3 linked regions of the Nothobranchius furzeri genome follow. The protein of the gene in region 1 binds, or shares a complex with, the protein of each later gene. Links are inferred from orthologs where the notes say so. Each region holds a gene or a part of one and is shown in the gene's direction. Other genes may lie near its edges. The genes, in order: polr2eb, polr1h and rrn3.

The links.
Region 2: polr2eb (region 1) and polr1h share a complex: the UniProt entries of both Homo sapiens proteins name them as parts of the pol I pre-initiation complex. The link is inferred for Nothobranchius furzeri from reciprocal best matches to the Homo sapiens genes POLR2E and POLR1H.
Region 3: polr2eb (region 1) and rrn3 share a complex: the UniProt entries of both Homo sapiens proteins name them as parts of the pol I pre-initiation complex. The link is inferred for Nothobranchius furzeri from reciprocal best matches to the Homo sapiens genes POLR2E and RRN3.

Annotation. Positions count from the first base shown.
Region 1 is NC_091748.1:48,496,701-48,503,851, forward strand, and holds the end of polr2eb (DNA-directed RNA polymerases I, II, and III subunit RPABC1), read left to right. Parts: coding exon 1-91; intron 92-3,716; coding exon 3,717-3,797; intron 3,798-3,874; coding exon 3,875-3,933; intron 3,934-4,037; coding exon 4,038-4,116; intron 4,117-5,672; coding exon 5,673-5,738; 3' UTR 5,739-5,745; intron 5,746-6,560; exon of another isoform or gene 6,561-6,754; 3' UTR 6,755-6,884; downstream 6,885-7,151. UniProt on the Homo sapiens protein: DNA-dependent RNA polymerase catalyzes the transcription of DNA into RNA using the four ribonucleoside triphosphates as substrates.
Region 2 is NC_091751.1:25,533,867-25,541,823, forward strand, and holds polr1h (DNA-directed RNA polymerase I subunit RPA12), read left to right. Parts: upstream 1-3,086; 5' UTR 3,087-3,190; intron 3,191-3,760; 5' UTR 3,761-3,783; coding exon 3,784-3,901; intron 3,902-6,161; coding exon 6,162-6,262; intron 6,263-6,340; coding exon 6,341-6,450; intron 6,451-6,526; coding exon 6,527-6,551; 3' UTR 6,552-6,922; downstream 6,923-7,957. UniProt on the Homo sapiens protein: Core component of RNA polymerase I (Pol I), a DNA-dependent RNA polymerase which synthesizes ribosomal RNA precursors using the four ribonucleoside triphosphates as substrates. Can mediate Pol I proofreading of the nascent RNA transcript.
Region 3 is NC_091758.1:12,121,070-12,129,026, reverse strand, and holds the start of rrn3 (RNA polymerase I-specific transcription initiation factor RRN3), read left to right. Parts: upstream 1-3,772; 5' UTR 3,773-3,907; coding exon 3,908-4,048; intron 4,049-4,399; coding exon 4,400-4,456; intron 4,457-4,524; coding exon 4,525-4,614; intron 4,615-7,043; coding exon 7,044-7,173; intron 7,174-7,263; coding exon 7,264-7,323; intron 7,324-7,511; coding exon 7,512-7,575; intron 7,576-7,957. UniProt on the Homo sapiens protein: Required for efficient transcription initiation by RNA polymerase I (Pol I). Required for the formation of the competent pre-initiation complex (PIC).

The DNA of each region.
Region 1 (7,151 bases):
CATTAAAATGTACTGTCAGAGAATGCAGGAGGAGAATATCACTCGAGCCATCATCGTTGTTCAGATGGGCATGACGCCTTCAGCAAAACAGGTATGTTTATGTTCATGTATTTAGCAGACGCTTTTGTCCAAAAGACCTACAAGTAATAATGAAGCCAGCAGGTTGCCCTTGAGGCTTACAACAAACACTAATCAGTCAATCCTAGGTGGCAGTGAGGCAGCATAATGAATCGTAAAGGGAAGTGAATAAGGAGTGGACAGTAGAGTGGGGGACGGGTGCAGGGAGGGTGCTAGCTTAGAAGATGCTCTCTGACGAGCTGGGTCTTCAGGAGTTTCTTGAAAATGGACAAGGTCAAAGAGATCTCGCAGTACAGGCAGGAAGACCAGTTAGAAGGGCATTGCAGTAGTTGAGGTTGGAGATGACTGTAGATTGAACCAGGAGCTGGGTGGCATATTTTGTTAGATATGGTCTGATCTTTTATATGTTATACAGCATGAAGCGGCATGAACGAGTGACAGAGGCAACTTGATCTTTAACTCATTTCCTGCCATTGATGACTAAAGTCATCATTTGTATTTTTTTTTTTACTGTGTGGGTGTCGGAACGAGCTCCCGTACCGTGAGAACAAACATCCCAGCTCTAAAGCTGATCTTTATCCATGTACATCACACGTCACATGATCAGGAAGCAAAAAATCCATGTGTTAGGAGATCGTTTTGGGCTGCTGCTGTAAAAAAAAAAGTGAGGCACGATCCAGAAAAGCTTCTGCCGATCACAATTCGACAACGGATTATGAAAAAATGGATAACACTCTAAACACGCAGATTATTCCAGATGTAAGAGGTGAGTCTACTCTTTGTTTTGGTAGTTTGGGCGTTGACATCATCATAGAGTGCAACGTTCGGTGACTTTTCAAAAAACTGTGAAAACGCTGAAAACCTCTGGCAGCGAAGGGCTTTACTGATCAGGAAACGACCGGAAGGTAATGAGTTAAAGGTCAGCTGGTCATAAATCACAACACCCAAATTTCAAATTGTGTGTGAAGGAGCCAGAGATAGGGGCTCGTTTTGCATTGAGATATTGTGTCGTATGGATGGGTTTGCTGGGATGTCAAGTAATTCAGTTTTTGAGAGGTTGAGTTGGGGATGGTGAGATTTCATCCATCTTGATATATCAGAAAGACAGTCCAAGATTTGTACAGAGACTGTGAGGTCGTCCGGACGAGAATGACAGATAGAGCTGGGTGTCGTCAGCATAGCAGTGGTAGGAGAGGCCATGCGATCGAATGATCTCACCCAATGTGGTGGTGTATGTGGCAAAGAGAAGAGGTCCTAGTAAAGAGCCCTGGGGGACTCCTGTGGCAAGATGGTAAACAGCAGAAGATTGTCCGAGTCAGGTAAGATTCAAACCAGGAGTGTGCTTTCCCTGTGATGCCCATGCTAGAGAGTATGGACAAAAAGAAGCCACGGTTGACTGTGTCAAATTCAGATAAGTCAAGCAGGATAAGCACTGAGGATTTGGGCAGTCGCTCTAGCTTATTTTAAGGCTTCAGTGGAGTGGCCATTTTTGAACCCAGATTTGTATGGGTCAAGCAGATAGTTTTGTGAGAGGTGCTCTGCAACCTGCTTGAAGGCCGCCTTTTCGATGATTTTAGACAGGAACGGGAGGAGAGAGATAGGTCGGTAGTTCTCCACACGATTTGGAGGAAGGGAGTTGGTTTCTGAGTGTCAGAAGTGCTGAGAATTTTGTCAGTGTAGAAAGCTTTCTTTGCATTAGTGATGCTGGCAGAGAATGAACTTTGTACCGTTTTTAGATCAAATGATAACATTAAGGACAGGAAACCTGATGAAATGGGGTTGTCCAGATGAATATTCATGTCTCCAAGGACCATTGTGGGACAGTCATGCTCAGGAATGGAGGAGAGCAGGGTGTCAAGTTCATCTAGAAAGTCTCCGTGTTGTCCTGGTTGTCGATATATAACAACCATAAAGAATAATTTTCGGTGCAGTTACCCAGATGGCATGGTATTCAAAGGAGATGTACTTAGTTATGGGTAGCAACTGACTGTATTTCCATTTGTTGGAACTTAACATGCCTGTTCCACCACCTCGGCCAGATGCATGAGAAGTGTGGTTGATTGAGAGTGCAGCTGGGTTCATCGTCACCAGGTTTGATCCAGGTCTCAGTGAGAGCCAGGGCATCAAGTGACAGGTGACTGGCATATGCAGTAATGAAGTCTGCTTTGTTTACTGCTGATTGGCTGTTCCACAGTCCCATAGACAGGCAAGTGGTGCTCGCTGCAGAGCCACAAATGTGGAGCTGCACCAGAGTCAGCCCCGCCCATTCCATCAGAGTCAGTCCAATTCCTTCCAGTTGTCAGACTTAATAGCATCCTGGAACCAAAGAGGGTGATATAGCTAATATCATCTAAAATGCAGGATTGAGGACTGAGTTGAGAGGTTAACTGAACCGTTTTTGTAAAGGTTTCCATATAATTAAAAATCTAACTTTTGGAACTTTTTATTATGTTATATTATCATTTCCTCATAAGAAACACGCCAAAGCCATTTTTGGCCTCATTCACACATTTTCCTCCCATCTCAGCTTCAATTTGGTCCTCTCCTCCGAAGCGGGTCTGGTCTTGGTTCTCAAATCTGGATATTCTGTGAATTTTCTGACAAATTATCTCTGAAATGACTTCTACTGAGACACCGCTGAAAAACCATACATCCCATCTACAAAAACACACTGGATGGGACAATTACATGTGATGCCACTAGCTTGTTATCAGATGTAGTGGTGAACTGGTTGTGCAGTCAGCTTGTCATGTAATTTTGCGCAGGTTCACCTCCCGGTAACGGCGCAAACTTTTTTCTTCTTTTCTAGCTACACTTGCCAGTACTATGTTTTTAACCATTTATTGGTATACCGTTTACAATATAATGACTAATGTGTTTGTTTTTCTATTTATTCGTTATTTAGCCAGTGTGAGTCCATTTGTGAGCAGAGCTCCAACTAAAATGCTGTTTAGGAACGACCAAATTCAAAGAACTTTTAGAGATATAAATATTTTGCAGAAAATAAACATTACAACTAAAATATAAACAAATTAAATGTTTCAGCTGGATAAATAGATAGCTGCCGACCCCACCGAGAGTTGAACCTACATCAGCTGAGGGGAAAGCAAAACTTAGGTGTGACGATGTTGCCACTAGATTACCAGGGCTCACCAAACAATTGTCCTTAAATGCTTTTGTAGCCCGGTTCTGTTGGAGCGGCTATGGACAGATATTCGCTAAAAGAAACCTTTTCATTTCGGGATATATTCAGGCTTTGTCACGTAGCAAGTTATATTTATCTTGTTTAATTGGAGCATAGAACGTAGCATTAACATTTGTAAACTAGTAACAGCCGTAATTCATGTGGGTTAGGTTAGTTTGCTACAAAATAAAAAAATAAAAAACAGAAGAAGTCAGTGGGCTAGGCTGTTTGCGTGAGTGGGCGGGGCTGACTCTGGTGCAGCTCCGCCTTTGTGGTTCTGCAGCGAGCACCCTTTCTAGTCAGGTGAGTGTCACCGAGGAGAGCTTGTTATAGGCCCAAGGTAAACACCATTATTATGGAGAAAGAAAAAAGATCATGTAATTTTATCAGTAAAATTGTCTTTATTTGGCTTTCACTGTCCTGTCTAATAAGTTGAAACTGAATTTCCTGACAGTCTTTGGTGGACATGGCACCGAAGTACATACTGGAGCAGTTTCTACAACAGGAGCTGCTTATTAATATCACCGAGCACGAGGTAAAAAGCATATCATGTTCTTTTTTTTGTGTACATACTGAGAATAGTGGGTTTCAGTTTTGTGTCTGAACTTTCAGCTTGTACCTGAGCACATCGTCATGACGAAGGAGGAAGTGACCGAGCTTCTAGCAAGATAGTATCCTTACTGATTTCCTCTTTTTACTATGCTGCAGGTTTTGTGTTGACGCTTGAGGGCTTTTATTTCACATACCTTTGTTTTCTTTAACATGATTACTTCAGTAAACTAAAAGAAAGTCAGTTACCGAGGATTCAGGCTGGAGACCCTGTGGCGCGCTACTTTGGCTTGAAAAGAGGACAGGTAAAGCACCGAGTACTTCCTGTTCACATGTAAGAGTTGTACAGGACCTGTGACCAGTTTTCATTATTACATGTCACATCATGAGTTCTCTAACATCACTTGTATATTATTTGCCACTCATTTACATTTTACACAAACTGCTGGGTTGTCATGGGCACAGTTATTGTCCAAATGCAAACACAAATAGTTTTGAGTTTTCCAACTGTGACCGTGCTTTCATGCAGCCAATAGCCCGGTTCCACACGGCCATGTAAACACCGGCAAAAACCCAGTTGTGCTCATAACCGGGTATTTACAAACCGGGTAATTAACCCTGGAGGTAACCCTTTTCTAACCCAAGTATCAGGTCATGTAAACTCGTATCGGGATAACCCTTTCATAAGGTGCGCATGTTCTATTCACAAGGAATCTTGGTCGTTTGAGTAGATCTGGGGTCGGCAACCTTTTCCCATCAAAGAGCCGTTATTACCCGTTTCCCACAGTAAAGAAAACACTGGGAGCCACAGCCGTGGCGTTGTGTGTGGGCCTACCGGCCCTGCGCAGGTGCCGCTTTTTGACGCGTCTCCTTTTAAAACATGTTTACACTGTTCAGACAACAAATCCAGGCTCTGTCTCGTTGGATTGTCATTAAACTTTCTACAGAACGAAACTTTACATTAAACAATGTGGAAAGGGTAAGAAAAGGATTCAATCAACTTGTTTTTCTCCTTTATTTACAGTGATGGAGGTAACGGCGCAGTGCGCATGGCACTGGTGTTAATCGAGTTTAATTTTTCTCTTTGCGACAATCTTCACAAGAAGGCAAAACAGCTAAACGGCAGGGTTCACTGACCAGCTATTTCCCGTGTTTGACCGTTTATTTGGACAGAGAAACCTCAAGGCTGCAGAAGCGCTGACATTTTAATCGTTACACACATCGCAGAGGCAGCTACACCAATCAGGAAAAGATTCCCATCAGAACATCTGAGCATTAAACTGGACACTGTGCTCAGGGCAGCTCGTTGACAGCGTGCACGTAAGGTGGACGAGCTGAAGATGTGGAGAGGGGCTTGAGCGCCTCGTGCACCGGCAGCAGCAGAAGTAAACCGGAAGTGAACACGTAGAGGTCAACATGGCGAGACGCAGCTCGCCTTATAAGCACAATAGCTACGTAACTAAGATCAATTGTAATAATAAATACAGGTAGTAATGTGAGTTATTAGTACCACAAATGCTACCTAATATGCACTGTACCTGATAAAAAAAAACAAATTAACATCAAATGATGTCAAATCAGGTGTCATTTGCTGTTTTGCAGTTTCTTGTGGTTGGATTATGCACATGGTGTTTATTTAGGAAGAAAAACAGCAAATGACTCAAATTGCGTCTTAACGTAGCCCGTACGTCCTGGTCCTGACGCTATGTAATCAGGATATTGGAAGTTCCATGTATACAGGGGTAACACTCTACTTGTGCATGTAAACGGGTTATTCCAAATGTTAAAGTTAATGTTTCTGGAACCCGAATATTGGCTCCATGTAAAGGTAGTCGGTGTCTCACAAGCTGCGTTTTCCCAGGTGGTGAAGATCATTAGACCCAGTGAAACCGCTGGAAGGTACATCACCTACAGGCTGGTGCAGTGACCCAAAGGTAAGTGTGGACAGAACCGCAAATAGAGCATGGATTAAGGATTTGTAGAGAATTACATTCTGGGCATAGAGGGCCGGTACCAGCACTTTTTAGTGGTTTCTCTGCTCAAACACTAGATTCAGTGGTTGAATCACCTGTGCAGCAGCTCAGTGTTAATTACCTGCTGATTGAAATCAGGTGTGTTGAAACAGTAAAAACTGAGGCCCTGTCCACACGTAGCCGGGGATCTGCCAAAACGTAGATATTTTTCTACGTTTTGGCCTGTCATCCACATGAAAACTGAGTTTTTTCACACGAAAACGGATCTTTTTAAAAACTCCGGCCAAAGTGAAGATCTGCGTTTTCTCCGTTTTGGGTGTCTGCGTGTGGACGGACAAAACCGGAGTTTTAAGGTCTGCAACGTCACTTTCCGTGACAAAAAACTGCTGACATCACGTGTGCGACCTGTGTTTACACTAGCCGACAGCATGGATGCTCTCAGAGCTGCGCTCGCTTTATCAATTGTCCAAGCGCTTTTTGCTCGTTTGTTTTTGCAAGCGGAATTACTGCTCCTTGCGGAAGACCACAGACGAAGGACGAGGTTAAGAACGGGGGAAGTACTGCCGCCTACAGGTCTGGCATGTCCTTAACAACGTATTTATCCGGGTACGTGTGGACAGAGTTTTGTTTTAAAACGAGGTGGTGTGGATGCAAGTTTTTGGAGGGGCGGATGTTCGTTTAAAAAAAAAAAACCCGGCTACGTGTGGACTAGGCCTAAGACGTGCTGGATACCGGACCTTTAAGAAAGTAATTGTATACCCATTTGTGTTTTTCAGTGCGTCCCAGTGCAGCTGTGGCTACATCGTAGCTCATCACCATCAGTGTGTGAATGTGTGTGTATGGATGAATGATACACTTTAGTGTAAAGCGCTTTGGAGTCCTTACTCTGAGAGGCACTATACAAGTGTGCGTCATTCATCATAGTAAACACGTAAGACTTGATGATTCTGAAAATTGTTTTCTTTTCAAGTTCTTCCGGATTGAAGTTGAGGATCAGCGGCATCTCACTCATCTGTGGATCGTTAGTCTGCTGAACTCCAATTTTTCCTGTAATTACTGAATTTTGTAAAAAATAAATAAAAGCATCTTTTGTACTTGAATTGTGGCACAACTCAAAGGTTTCAGCCTACAGTGTGTACAAGTGAAAAGTACCTTCCTTCTTTTAGGTTATTCTGTAGCTGCGGCAGGATCTGGAGCCTGATGAACTTTTGTTTAGACCCGTATCGAATACTTCGTCATGCCCGCCCCAAAGTAGTTTATTCAAAACACTAACAGGTTACACAAGTCTGAGGAAAAAAAATAACTCGTGGCCAAGACTTGTAAATGCATGATGGGTGTGTTCCACAGAGCTACAGTGTTCATGTTCT
Region 2 (7,957 bases), on another chromosome or scaffold:
CCCCATTTTACTTCCTCAATGGATAATGGTTCATCATACTCTTCTCTAAGAGTGGTGCTTGCTTTTTTGACATTGTCAAGCGAATTAAATATATTGGATGAATCAGAACATGTTTCCATTTTGTAGAAATTAGCATAATATTTGGACACAAATTTGGATATAGTATTATAGTCTGTTGTTATGGCATTTCCTATTTTTAATTTATTTAGGGTACTTCTTTCAATGTTTCTTTTTTCAATGTTAAAAAAATATTTACTGTTTTTCTCTCCTTCTTCCAACCATTTTAGTCTTGATCTTATGAATGTGCCTTTAGCTTTTTCCTTATAAATGTCATCTAATTCAGATTGAAAGTTTAGCTGTAATAATTTTTCATTATCAGTAAGATTCAGAGCGATTTTCAATATACATTTAATTAAAAATTCTATTCTAGCTTTTCTTTATTTAGCTAAGTCTTTGCTGAAACTAATGGCATGTTTTCTAACTTCATATGTGAACAGTTCCCAATGTTTCCCAAACTCATTTGTAGAGACTGCTTGTTCCCAATATCGTTTTAAAAGTCTGTAGTTTCTATAAAGCTACTATTATTCAATAAAGAATTATTAAATTTCCAATAGTTAAATTGTTTTGTTTTATGCTGTTGAGACAGACTACATTTAATAAATTTTTTTTTTATCTGTCATAATAGTAGGACTTATTTTCACTTCAGTGACCTGTTCATGAAGGTTATCAGAGACCAGCCACAAGTCAATTCGGGAACAGCGCGATAGATCTTTATTATTCCATGTGTATTGTTTCGCTGTTGGGTTATGATGTCGCCAAATGTCCATTAAGTTTAATCTTTTGCTAAATTTAATAAGATTGTTTTCCTCATCTCTACATTTAGAATATTTCCAGTTCTTGAGACCATACCATATTAAAATCTCCTCCCAAAATAATGTCCGTGGTGTTGAGTCTCTTCGTTTAGTTAGTTTACACTTACAATTCTGGTAGAAAAAAAAACGTATCTACAAACAGAACATCTGGCCAACATGTGGCTACATTAGGACTTATGGGAATAAGTGACATACCTTTAAAATTAGATTTCCTTTTAGCAACAGGTACGTTTTTTTAATTCCATTATACGTATCTACCCTGAGTACATGTTTAGAACTGTTCTACTCTTTTTGACTTACACGTTAAATCTATTTGCTGATAGCAGTATGTTCTGGATCATGGTCCAGTTCTACATCAGGCAGAAAACTAGAAAACCAGAACTTCAGTCTAAAGAGGAGGGTTTAGTACGTGTTTTGCTGGATGAGGACATAAAGACTTCACCTGTTTATGCTGCTCCAGGAAAATGTTTTGAATATTTTATAATTTCTCTATAACTACTAGATTTGTGTCATGTCTATGATATTTTTTCATCAGTTTGTTTATTCTATTATTTATGCTAATTAACCCAAAAGTTCAGTAGATACTTTTTTTTTAAAATAACATCTGGCAAATTTTTCAAGGACATTTGGAATGGCCTACAAGCAAGATGCCTACCGAGAGTAACGGTTTTATTTACATTTGGTCATTCCCTTATTTTTTTTTTTTTTTAGAAGTAACATAATTCCAATCTGACTCACAAATCTCAGAGCTGGATCATGGAGATGAGGGTGAGGTTTGTTTGCTTCAAGGTAAGAGCCAAAAACTGCCATCGCTCATGATGTCATGTCATAAAACTTTGGGGTAGCATCATCCTGTCTATACTTGTGTGAAAGCAAAGAGTTGGTTGGTAACACAATCTAAGGGTGGATCTGTTAGTCAGGAAGCACTGATGACTTCGAGTAAGTGTTCTGCAGGCAGGACTGGGATGATTTAAATCCAGAAATTTGTCACTGAGGCATGTGAGACATGATGGTAGAATTGATATGTTGTTAATAAAGTTGCTAAAACATTTTAATCTTCATGATAACATTTTGCAACACGACCTTCAGTCACAAAGCTTTATTCTAATGCTCCACTTTTTGTAATCTTTTTCTGGGATGTCTTGAAAACAACAAAGGAAGATGAAACAACCTTCTGTGATCCATCCACGTCTGCTGGTGAAGTTCCGTTTCCTCCCTGACACATTATATGGCAGGAATTGATGGACCATTTAATTACTGAATGTGTGATGTCTACATCATCAAAGAAAGATTAATACTTGCATTAGGGCTTATTGTTTGTCATTCTTTTACTGTGTTCAAATTATGAATTGTATTTTTGATTTTCATTAACATTTAAAAGGAGTCCACAAATAATATAATATGGAAACAATTCATTAAAATAAAACACCTATGGAAAAGTCAGACATCCGTTCAAATTTTCTACATACATGCACCAAACAAATGAATGATCATAGGTTTCAGCCTGATAAGAAAACACAGCATCACTGTCTCAGCTGGTCGGTTCCAGTTTCACTCCAATGTGAACTAAACTAAATCAGAAAATTTCAAAATTTGTGATTTTAAGAACATTTGGTTTGTGTGACATCTGTAACCACCGATGTGTAGATTATTCTAGTGGCCTTTTTTTTCTTCTTCTTTTTTTTTTTTTTTTGTAAAATAGATAAAAATAAACAGTTATGAGCAGTACTGTTTTTGACATGGGCGACCTGGGTAATGGCCCAGGATGGCATCATGAGAGGGGTGGCAAAATGGGTACGAAAAAAAAACTTATTTTGGGAGCGCAGTGCCTGAACATTATGCTGGTGTGTGTAACTTTTGGAAACATTTGTTCTGCTGCGTGCTGCAGAGGGAGGAGGACAGGTCTGCTGAAGCGGCTTGAGTGAAGCAGCATCTAAAAGTAAAGTGTGTTCGCCCAGGGCACCGAACAGGCTAGGACCACCCCTGGTCATTGTTGCCCCAAATCTCTGCACAGTAATTATGAGTTTAGTGTTGTTTATTATTTCCACGTATGCTTTACTTTGGTATTGAAATGCTTCTGGAGATGCTATATGATATTTCCACCTTATTTTATTGTTTGACACCATTTAATGGTATTTGCGAATTAATTTAATTATTCCCAAATAACATTTTGGTCATTAACTCATGTCACGTAAACAAGCGTGCGACACTAGCACGTCCTGCGTCATCAGCCTGCGACAATAACGTGATAGGACCATATACATAGCTGTGGATAGGACCCTAGGACCTCTACTGCAAACAAGTGACCGGTGAAAGAGGTTTGTAACGTTTTATACTGACTTAATAAATGATGACAGTAGCGCTGTTTTGAACTAAATGTGTAAAGAATAGCCGAATACTAATATAAACATGTAAAAGGTTTCCAAGTAGCTCCACGTGCTCAATGTGCTGCTGCTACTACTGCTAATAATAACAATAACATTCACTCGTTAGATTTCATCACACAGCCAGGAGGTCTTTTAAAGTGTTAATTTATAAAGTGCTAAGTCTTCATAACGGAAGTTACGGTGTAACTATGGTTCTGTGAGTTCCTGGATGACTGCCAGTCACAGGGGTCACTCGGAACTTCTCGGGCGAGAAGATCCCGGGAGACCCGAACGTAGCTATCGGCGCGTAATTTATAGACTCGCGACCAGGTGCGCTACGTGTCACGTGCGTGACTTTGTTTACATTAGTACTCGACCTGCGCAGAGCGCGAGGAGATACATCCACTCTGTTTACTGCCACTGGCAGTCAGGAGGGAACGAAACAGAACCCATGTGAACCGAACGGGAAACCAGTGGTTCATGGTTTTGATTGTTGTTTTCAACGTGTCTGTGTTTCTCAAGAGTCAGCAGCCCGGTTCGACGGGATGTCTTATTTTAGTGGTGACCCGAACTTCTGTCCTGAATGCGGGAACGTTCTTCCGGTACCAGTAACCTCCAACACTGTCCTGTGTCCTCGCTGCTCCTTCTGCATTCCTGTTTCAGGTAACGTGTCCCAGAGCCGTTTCTAGCTTTGTGAGGGCCTGATTCAAGAGGCTGTTTGGGAACCCGGGTGGAGGTGGTGATGATTCCTCAAAGTACCACAAGTGTAGTAAAAAGAAAAAAAAATCACTTCACAGTAAATGTATTTAACGTGATAGTGATGCACCGATATGAAATTTTTGGGCTAAAACAAATATACAATATTAATATCACCGTTATGGCCGAAAACCGATACCGATATACCGACATTAATGCTTCTAAAATCAGCAGATTTTGTGTAGGGCTTGTGATCACACGTGATTACGCATAGCATTCTGCAAACTGTGAAATAAACGGTACTGTCGCAGAGTAGAAGCAGATTTGGGTGAAAGAAAGTGTTAAATCACATAAAATCCCAACAAGGATGTGGAATATACAGGGACATGTTATATAAAGACGTCGGGGACCGGTATGTGGACAAAATCATCATTATAAATGGTTTTGATCCACATAAAAGACCCAAGACTGGAGCACTGGTGACATATTGTTGCAGCTGCAGTTCTGCATAACAGACTTTTTCGGCTATCTTGTTTAACGTCCAGATGAGAGGTAAACGTTTAATTTGTTGGTTTTTCTAGTAAAACAATCAAAATTGTCATCCCTCAGAAGAAGTGTAGCGAGAAAAGTTATGTTGTGTATCATTAGCTTACCGGTAGGTGAGTGTAGCCTCTGTGTACGTGTGTGTTTCGTGTGCATGTTGCGGTTGAGGGAAAGAAACGATGTATAAAAACGTACACCATCTGTAATTTACCAGAATGAAAATAATTTGGAAGGTGATGTTTGGTCGCCTTACAGCTGCGATCCAAGTGAGCTAACAAGACTTTATGCTAGATACTTGGTCTCTGTCGTTTTGCCACTAAACAGGAAAACTGTGGAAAGTTAGCTTGTTTTTCACCTTAATTCCACTGGCGATCACGTGTGTCACATGAATTAATAATACATAAAAAGTATCAGCTGTTGTGCTACAGCTACTATTTACCGTCTATGTGGTAGATTACTGTAAATACAGGCATGAACATGTAAGCACACAAACAAATACATATATCAGGTGCATCCTGCATGGAGTAGTGACCGTAGCGTTTAAGTGGCTGGCTGACTAATGACGTCATAATGTGTTATAAATCCCATCTACTGGTGGAATCGGTGGTCTACGGGAGTGCTCCTTCCTGCAGCGGGGGTATATCAGTTTCTGACTGAATGAGCTGCTCAGGTTGATGTGTGTTGTTCATGATGGATGTTAGCTTAGCTAGCATCCTCCTCTCGCCCACCACCGATTCCAGGGGGCATCCCAGTACAGAGCTAGTCCTCTGCACCAGTTTGCCAATTCTGTTCTGGTCCCTGTCTGTACATCCGCTTCCCCAACAGGCCACTGCATAGAAAAGGGCAGATGCAACCGACAAATCATAAAAAGTCCTTCACAGAGTTCTGCATACTCTGAAGGACCTCAGTTTCTCAGCAGGTGGAGTCAACTGCATTTGAGATGGGCAGATGAAGGACAGTCCTTGTGGTAACTCTGGGAGAGCTTAGTCTGACTGATTGTTGCCTTTCTCCTTTATTGTTTTTTCATTAAAAACAATACGCATCCAAGAAGAAGAAGAAGAAAAGATCTCTTCTATAGCGCCTCTCAAGATAAAAATCACGAGGCGCTTCACAAAAACAAAAAATGTAAAAATATAAAAAAGAATTTAGAAAATGATTAAAAATATATTTAAAATGAGCAAAAGATAGACAATTGTGATTAAAAATGTAAATAAAGAGAGAGATTGAATAGGAAAGAGGGAAATCCAACACAATTATCTTGAATTTTAGAAACACACACACTTAAAAAATACATATTTCAATCAGGGATTACAATTATTATTTTTTTTTTCAAAATTTATCGTTTTAGCTTTTTAGAACAGTTTAATTTGCTTGTTGCTGTCATAACAAAAACACCTACAAAAACTATTCACATGAATACTTTTTAAAAGGTGGGCAGCAGTGCCATAAAAAATATATCCACATTAAAACCACTGACTTGTTACTGCACCACCATGAGCTTTACACTGTTCCAAGGACTTATCCTTGCAGTGCGGTTTAATACTGGAACAAAGGCGATGAATCAGCTTTGGTTCTGAACAGAAAGGCTCTGCCTCCCAGGGGGGTACGATTGTTCGGGACCCTACTTATTTATGTTGCAGAACCCTCTTCAGATCATCGTTTACATCCAAATCTTTTTCTCTAGAGTTCTCTGGTCAGACGGTCAAGTCCTCGGTGGTCTTTAACCAGCTGACTCCGTTGTTGGTTCTGAAGGATGATCGAGACTCTGACCTAAAAGGGCCCGTGGTAAGACCAGCTCATTAGCTGAAAGCTTTGTTATGCTAAGAGTTTGGCACTGTTGATGATGCCATCTTCGCCCTGTAGGTGGACAGACGCTGCTCACGGTGCAGTAAAGATGGGATGATTTACCACACCAGGCAGATGAGATCAGCAGATGAAGGACAGACGGTCTTCTTCACTTGTATCCACTGCAGGTGGTCTCTGGCTCCGCTGTGTCTCTTGGTACTCTTGGTGATGATAGTACTTACGGTTTTTCTTTTTTTGTTTTAGATATCAAGAAAAGGAGGACTCCTGACACTCTACCGGCCCCCACTGGGTTTCTCAGAACATCTTCGTCAGCTCTCCCTCTTCTAATGATACCTGTCAGGATCAGCATTGGATTTATTTCTCTTTTTATATTAATTTGAATGATTGGCTGCTGCCAGATTCAGCTCAAATCTTGTTAAAGTAAATCTGAGCCTCTGTCATTCTGAAGGTGGTAAAGGAACCCTACAGCAAATCTGCTCCATCTGAACGGAAATGTCAAATCTCTGTGAAGGATGAGTTGGTAGAGCTTGGTTGAATGGAAGATGGATGGAATAACATTCAGACAAATCGGACAAGAGCTACATGAATCCTGTGGATTTTCAGTCCGAATGTAGATTAATAAATGAGTATGGGCCCCAATGTTGTCCGGCTTCATCGTCTGATCAATTAACTTTTTCCAATTCAATAATTTACAGCGAAATTTACCAAGTTCACAAGCATGTACACAAAATATATAAATATTTATGTAAATTTTTATTTCAGGTCATTGTGAAAGTTTGGAATGAGCTCCCGATTTTACTTCTCTCTACATCTAGGTTATCTTCCGTTCATTCGTTGTTTGTTTAGCCTGGATCGTTTTCTCGTCATTTCGAAAAGTTTGATCCAAAACAAGAACTTTTATTAAATTAGTTTGGCAGTGAATACTCTATGTTTGGTTAACTTATTGTAAGTTGTTTATCTAAGGAGTCCATAGCTCTGCTAGCATAAATCTTATGACTCTTTCCATTTATTTTTATTACACACACCTTTGAAACAAACATCCAAACCAGTGTTGAGGCTACACACATGAAAAAAAAGACCTCAACACAACATCGTATAAAAAACACATACAGGGATACACATTGCATTATTTGTTTAAACAAAAGTAATTTGTAGTGATTTGAAGTTGTATATTAATGAAAAGCGTTCTTCTGTCTCTTCTGGAATGTAAACATACTGAACCAAGCGTCCGACCTTGGCGATGTTACTGTGTGAAGGGGCAGCTGTTAAGGGCAGACCATTATAAGCTTCCTAACGCTACAAATTCAATATGGTATTAGTAGTACTACTACTATCACTGCTGCTCATGCGTATACGCTTAGCGGTCGGCTCTTGTTCGCACCGCTTATGCGTGCTCGATTCAGATACATGGTCGAGGGTTGTTGTGTTCGCCAATGTCTAAGTACTTAATCATGACACGGCTTTGTGGATTAGGGTAACTTTTCTTTTTTTTTCTTTACACTTAGACATATCAACGCTGTTCACATAGATATACCAGGGTTAACCTCTTCTGTATCAGAATTGTCTTTTGTGTTTGTAATCAAGCCTTGCGCGGTAGATCTTTCCGCGCAGGGAGACATAGATTGTTGGGTAATTTTTATATTACTCCCATATAGGGATGTAAGAAAATATCGA
Region 3 (7,957 bases), on another chromosome or scaffold:
AGCTGGGTCGAGCTGTCCTGGCTGTACTTCTGTTTACAGATTATCCGTCACAGGAGACACAAAGTCTGCTGTAAACCATCTTCATCTGACTGCCATTCCGTCCCAAGACGAAGGGCACTTCAAGATTTAAAAGAATAATTTTTAATAAACTCTTTTCACTGTCTATTACAAGGTTCATAAATAATCATCATGGTTCATTATAAATGTATTTATTACTGAAATGAATTATTATTCTTTGGTTCATAATAATTATTTATGATAATCAGTAATCTTTAACAGTATAAAGAAGGTCATGTGCGCTTATACACACCATGCAGGACACGGACATCAGGGTAAAGGTAACTGCTCTCACATGTCTTTGTTCCATAACCAAAGCTTTCTATCTCTGAGACGGCATGTCCTGAGGTTTAATAAAACCAAAACTACTCAGTTCAAGTTCAGTTCTTGAGCTCACCAAAATCTCTCTGTGGCGACGAGAGTCCCAGAGGATCGGGTCGGCCGCTCGAAACCTCCACTAAGCTGTTCTGTCACGCTGATAGAATTGCTTCACAGAAACGCCATCTGCAACAAGCTGATGCAAAACTCCTTCAGAGTTATTGATTTTTGAGACTCAACCAGTTTCATCAGTCGTTGTGACCCGGAGACATCTCAGGACCGATTTGGTTGCACCATGGTTCTTCTACCCACCTCGTGCTTCGAGGTCATCATCTCCTCCTGACATCTCGGATCCAAGAAGGGGGTCTCCTAACTGGGTGAGGTAGACACTTCCGACAGATAGCGTTCGTATGCCTGTTTCTTTAAGAAATAACTTAGTTCAGCTGCAACCCAACTCTTTCACCCAGAACGCATTTTCCCTCTCTGATAGAAACCTTCTGAGACCCATGCACACATCCAAACCCACACATTTCATTTTAGTTCATCCAGACACAGGGTTGCTTTAATACCAAGTTTTAATATCAAAGCTTTTTTTAAATTGTCATTTATGAATTGCCTTTTAAATTGTCATCTTTAGAATGTTAGTAATGCATTCTTAACTTTTAAACCTGACTCTTCTTTGAAATGAAACACAGAGTGGTGTATATTTGGTTATTGAACGAGCAAAGATTCCTTTTAAATCTTCTGATTTAATAAATAAACTTTTGCTATTAATTAAATCTCTTAAATTAAATATTAATCTTTGGATTAAATATAGACCAAGCCAGTTGGTGTATGAACTTCTATCGATTATATAGATATCCGTGGATATCTATACATGATATAAGTTTAATTTGCTTATTTGTTTGATCTTTCTCAGGATCTAACAAAGCTGCATAGCAAACAGCGTTAAATCCTGGTTATGTAGAGTGTCTACGCTACACAGGAGTCTATTTAGATTTGGGATTAAATGATGACAAAGCAAAAGAGGGGCATAACGCAGCACCCGAACGCTCTGATGATGGCCATCATCTGTCAAACACGGTGCATATGGGCTACATAAGGTAACTCACTGCATGGTGGTTGGCCGGGGAGGGGGGGTGGTGGTTAGTTAGAGTTCCTCCTACGTCCATCACAGCGGTGGGTGGGGTTTGAGCGGGTGTGGTTAACCGACTTCGGGGGAGGTTTGTTACCGGAAGACAAGATGAACGGCTCTCTACGGGGTCTCGGCCTTCATCATTCACTTTGAAAATCTGTTCACATCACTAGAAAGTAGTCCTTATCCTGTATGATTTGTCTCTGAACATGGTGCTGGAACGTGTCAACAGTGAACCAACTGATTGCTGGAAAATTAGCCCTGTTGTTGCAATGCCACCTGTGAACACCAGAGTACACCAGAGTGTTCGCCAGAGTTCATGTTCCACATTCAACCTTTAAACAAATTGTTTATGGAAATGTTATCTAAACACATTCATGGATTTAAAATGTATGTTCTGAATAAAGAAGATTAATTTGATTTAATAATATACTGCCATTGACGACAAAACTCATCATTTTAAATCCAGTCACCCTTTTTATAGGGCGGGTGTGCGAATGAGCCCCTGCACCGTGACAATAAACATCACATCTCTAAAGCCCGTTTTACACAACGCACCATGCCAGCAAATCGGCGTAATATTACCGCAGCAGTGTCTCTTATTACGCGCCATATGCCGGTGTGGCATTGCGCAAAATTTGACGCCGTCACCTGATTTTCTATAAAAAGGACACGATTGCATCACATTACCGCCACGGTCTGACCACTTATAAACGTTCTAAGAGTCCCTGCTGACGCCACGGCCTTGTGGCAAATTGACGGCATTGTTTTGTAAAAACGGCTTAAAGCTGATCTTCATCTGTGTACGTCACACGTCACGTGATCAGGAAGCAGAAAACCCATGTGTTAGGAGATCGTTTAGGGCTGCTGCTGTAAAAAAGCGAGGCGTTAACTGGAAAGGCTTCTGCAGCTCACAATTTGACCAACGGATTATGAAAGAGCAGATAAAGCCAGAAACTTGCTGATTCTTCCTGATGTAAGAAGTGAGTCTATTATTTGTTTTGGTAGTTTTGGCATTTACGTGATCCAAGAACACAATGTTCTGTGACGCAGCAAAAAACTGTAAAATGCTCAAAAACACTGGCAGTCCGGGGCTTTTCTATTCAGAAAACGGCCGGCAATGAATGAGTTAAGGGGGGGGGGGGGGGGGGGGGCATGGCCCCTGGACTCTGACTAGAGCACTTCCGCCCCTGGATTCCTTGGTAGTTCTGCTGTTGTGTTTGGGTCATGGATCTGTTTGATGATCTGGTTCAGTTCAAGCTTCAGCTGGCAGACAGATTGACTCTGAGACTCGGTGGTCACTGAAGGAGTTTCTGATTAACTCGATTACTGTTTCTTTTTATTTCCGACGTTCTCAGTCCAAACAGGTACACCAAAGTTTGTCTGAAGGGATGCAGCCTGTGGATTTCATCCGTTCATTTCATCACGACGTAAAGCAGCAAAATAAAATCGGATGCATTTACCCTCTCAGGCTCAAAAATAAGTTTTGATAAAAGGACGAACAACTAAGTCCTTCAGGGGTTCTGAGTTAAAACATGCTCATGAAATACATGTGTGGGGTAACCAGGTAGGTAGGTTTTAACGTTGCACATCTGCAACGCCGACCTCTAGAGGGTTAAATCAACCCAGTCAAGCCCTGTAAAAGAGTGTAGCCAGTCCCACCCAACATGGGTATCAGGTTGTGACCTTTGAACTTAGTTGAGAGAGACCACTGGTTTTTCTCCAGGATGCAGAACAACATTGATCTGAAGTGTTTATTTTTCTTTTCACCTATTTATTTTAGCAAAAAGTAGAATACTTTTTTTTCCCCTTAAAATGTGCTTGAGGTAATATGTTTTTCTAAATGACACACTAGTCTGGTAGAGAAACAAAACAAAGTACAATAAAGATATAAAGTTTCAGAGGCACAGTAGATGTGATGATCACAGTTTGCTATGTGAAAAAATCCACAGTTTTAGTTAATTATGCTCAACACTTCAAAGAAATTGATGAACTGTGAAAAAAATAATTCTCAGGTGCTTAAATTTAACATTTGTTTTCCCTGATGAACACATTATATATTTTGAATTAGCAATCTTGTAGCACACAGGTGGTAAATTCTTACAGAAACTATATTTAGCTAATATTACATTCAGGGTGAAACACAGTTATTTATCGTAAAATAATGCTTTTCTGTTTACTGTAAAAAAAAAAAAAAAAAGTGGGTCTCGCGCACCGCGGGAAGAGTTTTAATGTGACACCTCATCACTCTGTTCCGGAAACACGTGATTTCTTCCGCCTGCGCTCACAGCAGCTTGCCTTTGCTTTTCACTAGTGTTTTGGGGTCTTGTATTGATATTGTTCCCCGTCTTTATTCCGGTGAAATGAGAGAATACGTTAACGTATACGTTTAGTTTGATGATAGCCACGTTAGCTCGTGGAAACCAGCGCGTGGCCGGAACCATGGATGCAGACGGTAGGGACTTCCTCAACTCTCCTCCGGCCAAGACGGTCCGGTTTGGGGGGTGCGTAGCGGAGACTCTGGAGAAAGCCAGACACGTGAGTGCTGTAGCTGGTCCAGTCCAGGGCATGGTAAAGACAACAGCTAGACTTCTCTGGCTTAACATGATCTCGGCCAAGTTTAAACTGATAGATGTTAAAGATAAAAAAGCAACATGTTTAATTGGGACCCAAGGTGCCTCGAGGGTTAAAAGACGAGGAATGAGTTTTAACTTTAAACCAAAAACATGAATGTTTCAAATACAGGTGGAAGGTGAAATATCCTGGGTGGTTGTGCTGTGGCAGAATCATTTTACTTTAGTTTGATACGATTGTTAGCAGCAGGAGCAGCTCCTTTCACCTTCCTCTAAGAGCCCTGTGTCCTGATGAGGCGCTTGTCTGTTTTTGAAGGGGGACACAAATGACTACGAGCTGCTGAAGCATCAGCTGGTGGATCCTGAAATCAAGGTAAAACCTCTGAGGCTGATCTTGGGTCGGTGTGAAGGTGCGAATAATGGTCATGTCTCTCTGGACAGGATGCTCAGCTCATCAGCTGGCTGCAGGAGTTTCGGAGCTGTGTGACTCAGTTGACAAAGGACCATGAGCAGCTGGTTTACACGATTCTGGTGAGAGGACAGCTTCACTGATGAGGAGAGCTCAAACCTTCATTTGATCAGATTAGATGGTTCATTTCCCTTAGATTATCTGATTGAAAACAGAACTTAGTTCAGTGATTTCTGTAATTATAGGGAACAATTGTTAGCTGTTTGCAATGTCAGCTGGCTCCTATTCATGAGGAGGAGGAGGTGGATCTAGTCCTTCCTCCTAAGCCGGGCGTACACTGTGTGACTTTTTCACTCGTAGCACTCAGCTTCAGCTCACACTGTACGACTTCCTCGCAGGGCAGATCTCACGAGTCAGGTGCTCACACTGCACGACCCAGTTCTCGCATGCGACCTGACTGCTCACACTGTACGTCTGGTAGCAACATGTCGGACCTAAAAATGTGCTAAAAATAGCAGTTTTTACTCAACACGTCAGACTTTTTTGTTTTGTTTTGCCTGTTGTCCTTCGGGAGTGCTGCAGGAGGACACACAGGGATTTATGGGGGTTGGATGAGGAAAACAAAATAAAGAAAGTAAATCTGTGTTTTGTGATCAGTTTAATTTGACATGAACACGACAAACACGCTTTCTTGACAATCTTTGTGAGTAAAAAACGTGTAGAAACAAAAATGAGCAGCGTGTGTTATTAGGGAAATAGCGGACGAGCAGTGTTGATGCAGGATTGCGCCGTGAGCGGTTCTGATACTTTTTGGGTCGCAGCCGCTCGCAGCGCCGCTTCAACAGTGCGATACCCTCACGAGGAACGAGCGAAATATTAAACACGCCAGAAGTTTGTGCGACCTCACGATTGCTGATCGGTAGCTGGTCACGTGGTGTTACTCGCCTCTCGTAACCCCTGTACACTACACGACGCTCAGCGCACACTGTGCGACTTTTTCACTTTTTTGAGCCGATTTTCCAGTCGTGCGAGAATCCACAAGATCGGGGCGAGTTTTGCGCCGAGCGGTCGTGTAGTGTACAGGGGGTTACGAGAGGCGAGTAACACCACGTGACCAGCCGCCGATCAGCAGTCGTGAGGTCGCAGGGACTTCTGGCGTGTTTAATATTTCGCTCGTCCCTCGTGAGGGTATCGCACTGTTGAAGCGGCGCTGCGAGCAGCTGCGACCCAAAAAGTATCAGAACCGCTCACGGCGCATGCGCGCGCAATCCTGCATCAACGCCGGCCGGTCGCTCGCTATTTCCCTAATAACACGCTGCTCATTTTTGTTTCTACACGTTTTTTTACTCACAAAGATTGTCAAGAAAGCGTGTTTGTCGTGTTCATGTCAAATTAAACTGATCACAAAACACAGATTTACTTTCTTTATTTCGTTTTCCTCATCCAACCCCCATAAATCCCTGTGTGTCCTCCTGCAGCACTACCGAAGGACAACAGGCAAAACAAGACAAAAAAGTCTGACGTGTTGAGTAAAAACTGCTATTTTTAGCACATTTTTAGGGCCGACGTGTTGCTACCAGACGTACAGTGTGAGCAGTCAGGTCGCATGCGAGAACTGGGTCGTGCAGTGTGAGCACACGACTGTGAGATCTGCTCTGTGAGGAAGTCGTACAGTTTGAGCTGAAGCTGAACGCTGCGAGTGAAAAAGTCGCACAGTGTACGCCCGGCTTTAAGGCTGCAGAGGAAAGTCAGCTCAGCTACTTGTGTTCAAGGACCCCCCCCCCCCCCCCCCCCCCACACACAGGGGCTCTCCTTGGGGTCAGCAGCCCCCGGGGGGCTGGGAAACCCACACACTGGTTGCGTTGGTACAGCTAACGGTGTTTCTGAAGAGCACCCAACTTTTTGACCATTTTACATCAAAGATTTGCAGGTTCATTGTTTTTAAATCGCACACAAACAAAAAATGGCCTTTCATAGAAGTAAAGTAGATTTGTAAAGGATTAGCTAACAATATAAAACAGCCGAGTAGCCACGTGCCCCTCAGATGTCCAAATGCTGTAGGCCCTTCTAGATCTACACAGATCAACAGTTATGTCATAAAGTTTTTAGTTTTTGTTATATTTAGATTTTTTTTTAAAAGGTTAATGCTGCAATGAGACTGTAGTCACCCGGTAAAGGGTCATTTTAGCATCCTCTGGCTCCAGGGCTAGGGTTAAAGGGGACCTTTAGTTCACACATTTCCTGCTCATAAGGTCAGCTGGCTCCGAGGCTCTGCACTGCAGACCAGGGCTGCATCACCTGGGAGGCTGATGGTTGCGTGTCAGAGCTGTGGGAGTGGGCTCCTAGGACTTCACTTGGTAAAAATATTGCCAATCGTTTTTTTTTTTAAATTTTCTCTCATCTGCGCTGCGTCCACGGTGTTTACCTGACTAGCACAAACGAAAACACGCACTGGATCGGCTGTGGTCCAGCCAATCAGAGTAGAGTGTCTGATGGTGCTGTAGAAATGTGTGGTCATTATTTTGGCGTGGCGTTCGTGTCGCTCTTCCAGAGGGTTCCGTGGGCCGACCGCTGTCAGGCTGTGGTGGATGAGTACTTGGCCTTCCTGGGTAACCTGGTGTCCGCTCAGACCGTCTTCCTGTGTGCCTGCCTGAAGATGGCGGTCTCCCTCTTCACTCCCAGTAGGTTCCTCTGAGTCAGACTCGGGCCTTTCGTCACGTTTGAAAGTTGGGCTGCACGCGGAGAACGAAGGAGGTGTTGTTTGATTTCAGAGAGAGTGACCATTCACGAGGGTGGAGTGGACATCTCTGATTCGGATGATGAAGATGAGGGTGAGTTCTTGAATTTTTCACTTATTTTACATCATAACACATGAAGCTGAATTAGGACTACTGGTAAAGTAGCAGCAGCAGTGCTACTGAACAGGTGAGAGAGCTCAGGTAGACTCCACAACAAACATCTTGAAACAGAAATGACGTTTGTAACTAAATATTACTGAACGCATTCTTCTGCTTTTAAGACCTCCCCAGAAGCTTCGACCGGAGTCACCAGGCGCTGCAGCTCATCGTCAGATATGTGCCCTCGTAAGTTGCTCCACTCTGTTTCCCCTCGTCTTGTCTTCCTGCTCCACTAGGTGGCGTGAGTGAGTCCCTCTGCTGACGGACTTTCACTGGCTAGGTAGATATTACCATGCAGTCTTCCCAGGTGTGAGGTGAGCGGGTATAAATAAGGACGACAATGGAAAACAAACGGAACGGCATTCCCGCACCTGCATAGCTAAAAGGTCTCCAAAGCACTTCTACTGCAGTCATCCACCCTGGTGGTGATGAGCTACGTCGTAGCCACAGCTGCCCTGTGACAGGCTCCAGCAGGGAGAAGGGTGCCCAAGGACAGACTGTCACAGACCAAGTCTGGTTTTGAACCTGCAACCCAGCGGTTACAGGAAGACTTTCCACCCTGAGCCAC